2 linked regions of the Xenopus tropicalis genome follow. Each later gene encodes a partner of the first gene's protein in a complex. Links are inferred from orthologs where the notes say so. Each region holds a gene or a part of one and is shown in the gene's direction. Other genes may lie near its edges.

What was found. The genes of interacting proteins can lie anywhere in the genome.
Region 2: cinp (region 1) and spata5l1 share a complex: the UniProt entries of both Homo sapiens proteins name them as parts of the 55LCC heterohexameric ATPase complex. The link is inferred for Xenopus tropicalis from reciprocal best matches to the Homo sapiens genes CINP and AFG2B.

Annotation. Positions count from the first base shown.
Region 1 is NC_030684.2:97,537,426-97,540,667, reverse strand, and holds the end of cinp (cyclin-dependent kinase 2-interacting protein), read left to right. Parts: intron 1-312; coding exon 313-481; intron 482-1,073; coding exon 1,074-1,185; intron 1,186-1,353; coding exon 1,354-1,483; intron 1,484-2,459; coding exon 2,460-2,662; 3' UTR 2,663-2,742; downstream 2,743-3,242. UniProt on the Homo sapiens protein: Component of the DNA replication complex, which interacts with two kinases, CDK2 and CDC7, thereby providing a functional and physical link between CDK2 and CDC7 during firing of the origins of replication.
Region 2 is NC_030679.2:104,568,638-104,572,790, forward strand, and holds the start of spata5l1 (spermatogenesis-associated protein 5-like protein 1), read left to right. Parts: upstream 1-1,353; 5' UTR 1,354-1,364; intron 1,365-1,495; coding exon of another isoform or gene 1,496-1,520; coding exon 1,521-2,588; intron 2,589-4,153. UniProt on the Homo sapiens protein: ATP-dependent chaperone part of the 55LCC heterohexameric ATPase complex which is chromatin-associated and promotes replisome proteostasis to maintain replication fork progression and genome stability.

The DNA of each region.
Region 1 (3,242 bases):
GGTACCGGCAATGAATCATGTGCACTTGTGATAAAGTGTGCATGAAGCACTTGAAACATTTGGCTTTTGTGTGCACTCCATAATAAATACTTTTGAAGGTATTATTTATTTATTTTTTACACCAGTTGATATCGCTTGTGTGCATCCTCTTTTTGTCCTTCTATTGTTACTTGCACATTTTGAGCCTGGCACTTTCTGAGAGGTTGCACCAATGGATTCAAATCTTTACTGAAACAAGGGGAACCGTTATTGTATGAAATGTTTGTTTGTTATGGAAGGTAGATTGGTGTTAACATCTGTCTCCCTTTACAGGTAAAAGTCCTGGATATGTAACACCAAAAAAGCCAGCTTTATCAGCTAGTGCAAGAAAAATCAAAGACAATGCAGCAGACTGGCATAATCTGATGCTTAAATGGGAGACATATAATAATGATTCATTTACTATAGCAAGCAAGATTGTTAATCTAAAAATAATTACTGAGTAAGTATTTGTGTGTGCCTAAGAGGTGTTTCACCTGCTGTCAACATGTGCGGTCTCGCAGGTTCAAGTAATGAAGTTCTTAAAACCTAGGCTTTGTGTTGCCACTGAGTCCTGGTGTATTTGTCCTTAAATATTATATATTTTGTTTGTCTAATATTCAATACATAATGCACAACTGAAAACTACAGCCTTGGCAACGTACACCGATGTATTCTTAAGGTGAAGACACATGGAGCTATTTAGTAGCTGCTACTTGTCACGGCTACTACACTCCATAAAATACCCTGCCATAGACAATACTGAGAATTGCCTCTGCTAAAACACACGCAGAGACAACTATCAGTAAATGATCAGCATTATCTCTTTTAGTAGCCTCGACAAATAGCTGCTACTAGTAGTTCCGTGTGTCTTCACCCTTATTGTGTTTAATGTATTGAATATTAGACAAAACAAAATATATAATATTCAAGGTTCAGTATCTACACAGATCCTTATCACCTGAGGGTGACGAGCCCTGAAATCTGCATTGGAAGTGTCAGTAGCACATAGACACAATGAACTTTGCTTTTTTTTTTTTTTATTGTATGTGTAGATCTGCAGATAGCATGTTGGATGAAACCACACCTAATAAGGATAATATAACGACAGACAAAGTGGAATTGGACAGACTGTGCTCAGAATTACTTCACATATTAGAAAATATGGTATGTTACTAGACCAAAATAATGTAATCCTGTATCAGTCATTGGTTGCATTGCATGTATTTCTGTATGTTAAGTGTATAAATCTAGTTGTTGTACAGTGCTGTGGAATGTTGGCGCTTTATAAATAGATGTTAATAAAATGAATATGCATTGTATTTTACCCCTAAGGAAAAAATATGGACCAAGCTGGAGAAGATAACCGTCACTTTTAAAGGAATCTGTGACCTTGAAGCATATCAGTTTCCTGGTGACATTTCTAAGCCAGTTCATTTTCACACTTGGCCAACAACCCTTTTCTGTAAGTAGAACTTATATAAATAACACACTATGCTGTAAGAAATATGAAAAATAATAATGAAACCATTCTATTAGAGCAGTTCTGTCCAACTGGCGGCCTGAGAGTCCCCTCTGTGTGGGCCCCCCCACCTGTCTGGCTGCTTTGTGTAAGCTTGAAATGGTATCAGTACTGAGTTTAACTGGCCCCCTGCAAGGTTCACACCTCAGATTCAGGCTGTACAACTCCAAAGGTCCCCATACACCATAAGATCTGCTCGTTTGGCGATGTCACCCGGTGAGCGGATCTTCTCCCAATATCCCCCACCTACGGGTGGGCGATATTGGGAGAATCCAGGGTAATTCGATCGTTTGGCCCTGGGGCCGATTAGCTGCCAAATCAGTCCAAGGGACCATTATCGACAGCTACTATCAGCCCGTGTATGGGGACCTTTACACAGCTCTTCTGTTATAATATTTTTTTCTATTGTCATTTAAACAACTGCTTGCTGAAAGACAGGATCATTGCAAGATAACATTTTAAATTTAACTAGAGAGCTGTAGAACACAATGTAAACAAAACAATTTGAAAACTACAAAGACAAAGTTAAATCCAATATTATCTTCTCACTGTATATTCCATAGTAAAATAAATTATATTTAACTTCCCTTTTATTTACAGAAACCCGATAGAGATTACAGGCATGCTAGCCAATTGTGAATAAAATGTTTGTTGTTAAAGAGAGTCTAATAAAATGTTTTGAACTGGCAGATAAGTGATAAGATTTCCCATAAAATATCTCTTTGTGCTTCAGAATAGAGTAAGGTGTGCTGTAATTTTATACTGCTTTATCAGAATACAGGATGAATGTTAAGGCTTAGGATGGCATTTATTCATCAGCATCTGTGACCTCTCAAAAACAGTCTATGGTATTGCATTTTTATAAAAAAAATGATTAACTTTTAATGCAACATTTCATTCTTCATCTATTGCCTTTCAGATGAGACCTCCAAAACAATGGTAGATATGTACAAGAAAGAAATGGAGCTTAAAAGGACTATTATCGGGGATCTTGCACATACATCAGATCAGGACTTACGGATGGTGTATTTATCGTGTTGGTTATACCAGCCTTATATTGACAACAACATCAAAGTCTTACTTGAAAGCATGCTGCTGGAAACAGGACACAGAACCTTTTGATGGTTTTGGACCCTTTAGGGCTCTGGTACACGGGGAGATTAGTCGCCTGCAACAAATGTCCCTTGTTGCGGGCAACTAATCTCCCCGACTGACATCCCACCGGTGAAAATGTAAATCGCCGGTGGGATGGCATATGCCGCGGCGCGACCTCCGAAGTTGCCTCTCGAGGCAACTTCAGCAATTTCTGCAAATCGCGCCGCTGCTTATGCCATCCCAATGGCAATTTCAATTTTCGCCGGTGGGATGTCATATCGGGGGGAAAATTAGTTGCCCGCAACAAGGGACATTTGTCACAGGCGACTAATCTCCCCGTGTACCATTTAAATGTAAATCGCCGGTGGGATGTCATATCGGGGAGATTATTCGCAGGCGACTAATCTCCCCGTGTAGCAGAGCCCTTAAAAGGTTAAATACACTGGAGGGGGGTGCCAGTGTACTAGGCACCACTGAACATCTAGTACATTAGCCCCCGGGATAGTGTTCCTATTCATTCAAATGCACCAGAACAGGGTACTGTCCTTTAAAGGAACAGTAACACCAAAAAATGAAAGTGTATAAAACTAACTAAAATATGATGCGC
Region 2 (4,153 bases), on another chromosome or scaffold:
TCACTTTCATAATAAGGCAAAAACAGCTTATCTGACGATAGATGTCACTGGAAATGCTCAGAATATCTCATCTGTTTCTTCTCAGCCTACCTGGCAGCCTGCACCTGGCAGTGTTCTCCGCAAATATTTTCAACTTTTGTTTAAATACTTGGGGATATATTTATCAAAGAGTAAAAGAGCGTGTTGCAGTCTGCCAGAGTGAAATTCCGCCACCTTCCATTTATTTCTTTGGGATTTTTCAGAGTATTTATCAATAAATAAAGGTGAAAGTTCACCTTTTGATAAACATGCATTTAAAAATACCATAGAAATGATTAGAGTGGAGGAATTTCACTCTAGAGGACTGTAGCAAGCTCTAATTTCACTCTTTGATAAATATACCCCTGGATTTATGCCAGGGATCCCCAACCTTTTATATCTGTGAGTCACATTCAAATGGAAAAAGTGCTGGGGAACAACACAAGCAGGGAAAAAGTTCCTGGGGTGCAAATAAGAGCTATAATTGGCTATTTGGTAGCCCCTATGTGGACTGGCAACCTGCAGAAGGCTCTGTTTGGGTTTTATGCAATCAACAGTTGCCTCCAAGCCAGAAATTAAAAAATAAGCACCTGCTTTGAGGCCACTGGGAGAAACATCCAAGGGGCTGGGGAGAAACATGTTGCTCACGAACCACTGATGGGGATCACTGATTTATGCTGTGGAAACAAGAATTGTTAAATTTTAATCCTTGAAAAACCAGAAGGGAAAATGCTGCTGGCTGGGGGACCAGGGGAGAAATAGGGGAGTTGACAGCTCTATACTTTAAAGTACAAAAACACTTTAAAGATGACTAGTGACAGGCAATTCTAACCTTTTTTGTTTTGCCAAAAATACACAAATCGTAATTAGTAGGCTTTCTTTGTAAAACTAATTTTTGCTGCCATTGGAGTCCATGGACTTTTTTATGGCAAAATACCTGGTGAAGAAAACTTCACCTGGGCCTTGGTTGCACTAAAAGAGAAAATATGTATTGTTTTCAGTTCCCTGCCACAGATGGAAGCTGAGCAGAAATTATAAGGCTTCTGAGAAATTTTGGGGAGCTGTGATAGCGGAGGGCACAACCAACACAAAAATTCTTTTTTCGCTCTTTCTTTTTTTTTCCTCTATGAGGTGCAACCAAGATTTTTTTTTGTAAGCAGACTCAACGCCGCATACTAGACACTTCTAATTGCGTAACGCCGTTACGTCGTCTCCGCTCTTCAGTCTTAACGCCAAATCTCGCGAGATGAGACTTGCGCAGTCGGGATTTTCTGACAGAAGCATGAGACTTGCTGTTAACTTTTCCGAAGGCAGGAGTAGCGCTCTGAGTTTGCGGTGTGTGTTAGGTAAAGCGCAATTCTTGGGCACTGTGCATATTCTTGTATTAGAGGGTGAAGTTTGAACTCCCCCCGAATATTAATGCATACAGTGTTTTGTCATGGAAACCATGTTTCAATAATTAATACGTTTTTTTTAGATGTTATCGTCAGGATTCTTCATTGATGGATACGGTTCTAAAATGTCTACCCTCCAACCCAGACGACCATTGCTCACAACGATGCAGACTTGGTCCCAAAGCGATGGCTTTGATTGGAGCAAAAGTCGGATTCCCGGTTCTTGTCTCCTTGCAGAGTGGAAGCTGCTTGTGCACTGCTTGGCCCAGGAGAGATCTGTGCGATGGCTTTGTGCAAGCTGATTATATGTGCTCGACTTCACATAAACCCATGGCTGTATTTAAGGACACCGGCATATGTTTAAATCAGATAAAATCCATGGCTTCTACCAAACTCAGAAAGGTCTCAGTGAAAGTTGTAGTGAGAAGCCTAGATGTGAAGCGGGCTACCTCAGAAGCAGCACTCCTTGAGACTGTCAGAGATCTACTAAGAAACGTTTTTGTGCTGAATGATTATGTGTTATCTGTAAATGCAGATTCCCCAGTTGTTCACATTGAAATACTTGATACAGATCCTGCAACAAGCAATGCCGGCCTTATTACAGGCAAAACAAGCATAGTCATTAAAGAAGTCATCACCCTTGAATGGTACAAACATAAGTTACAGGAGGCCCCTCAATTAAAGGTTGCGGCTATGGATGACACGTGTGCCTCACTAAAGGAAATAATTCATATGCCGTTACATTATCCAGAGACCATGCACAAACTTGGCCTCCCTTGCCCGAAAGGTGTTCTCTTGATTGGGCCCCCAGGGGTTGGAAAGACCCTTTTGGTAAAGGCTGTAGCTAGAGAAGTCGGGGCGTATGTAATTGGCCTGAGTGGTCCCGCAATTCACGGCTCAAGACCTGGAGAAAGCGAAGAGAATTTACGGAAGATTTTTGAAAAAGCAAGAGAAGCTGCATGTAGTGGCCCAGCTCTGCTCTTTATAGATGAAGTTGATGCCTTATGTCCTAAACGTGGCCATTCAAACAGTGCTCCCGAAAACCGCGTTGTTGCTCAGCTGTTAACTCTAATGGATGGTATTGACAGTGACAATAAGATGGTTACTGTAGCTGCAACAAGCAGGCCTGATGCCATTGATCCAGCATTAAGAAGACCAGGCAGATTTGACAGGGAGGTAAATATAAAAATAATTTTTCTTTTGTCTCCTTTAACAGCCCCACAAAATAAGCTGTTGGCATCTGACAGATAATGTGAGAGATCTCATGAGTAGGATAAGACCTGGGACTTCACCACATTTCAAAAAGACATCATTATATGTATTTAGCATGTAACCTCAGTAGCCTAAGCTATTCTCTTTGTAATATATATATATATATACTTGGGTTACCTCTGCTATTGTCTGTTTTACTTACGAGAGAGAGGGAGAGAGAGAAAATAAAAAAGACCAGCAACTCTGGGATTTCTTGTGAAAAAATCAAAACATATATTTAAAGTAGCATAAACAGCCGACGTAACGTTTCGGTCCCCAGCATAACCTAGCGTCTCTAGCATGTATGCCCTTGGTGTTTTTGTGACCCAGTGAATTGTATGAGCCAGGGGGAAGGTCCTTAGCATTAACAAATGTCAATTTCTACTTAGGTTTATTCAGTGGCAAATACTGCTAGAAAAGGATGTTTTTATTAAAATTAAGCAGTGTTTTACATATGGGCTATTATATGCACTATAATTTTACAGAGACCTACATTGTTCAGGGGTATAGTTTTTTTTGTTTATTTATTGCATTTGAGCATCCATTTGAAAAAAATGCTAATCTGCAACCAATCATTTTTTGGCTTACATATATGTTTTTGCCTGTTAGAAAAGTCACACTACTTAAGTTGCTTTATTAATGTTAGAATTATCACTTAAAGGAGAAGGAAAGGCTAATAAAGAGTTAATCTCAAGCTGCAGGCATACCTTCAGTTGTCTCAATAGTGCCCTTAAGTCTCCCCATACTTCATCTGTTCAGAAGATCAGAAGCCAAACAGGAAAATAAAACGCTGAGCAGGGTAGAGAAGATTCCCATAATGCATCGCTCCTTTCCTAGACTTTCTACTGTAGGCGGCGCATGCGCACACAGCAGGAGCGTCTGGTCGCCATGGCGGTGGTGAACGCTGTGGAGGGGAGCGGGGGCAGGGACAGGTGTGGGGAGCGAAGGACGGTTTGTGGCAGGAGCTTGGAGCGAAGCGGAAGGTTGGTGGGTGAGTGCTGTATGTAACAGTGCTGTATGGCACATGCTGTATTCCATCTGTATCTTTTCCTCCTAGTGCCGAGCGGCGGCGGCAGGGGCGGGGGGGGGTTGCTGCTGGCAGTGTTGATCTGTTTCTCCTCCTGACAATGCCGAGCGGGGTGGGGGGGGTCGGGGGGTGCTGCCAGCAGTGTCGATCTGTTTCTCCTCGTGACAGTGCCGAGCGGTGGCAGCAGCGGGGGAAGGGGGGGGGGTGCTGCCGGCAGTGGAAGCTCTGTGTGTTGATCTGTGACATGCTGGGGGGGGGGGGATGTGGCAGGACACTCTGTGACATGCTGGACAAGATGGCGGCGCCGTTCACTGAAACAAGTGTGTAGGTTCTAGTAAATGTATCTCTGTAAATCTTTCATTAGGCAAGCCAGAAATATAGCATTTTTACACAGCAATAGTAGTACTATTTAATAGTGTGCTTAATAGATTTTGACTTTCCTTGTCCTTTAAGCATACCACAA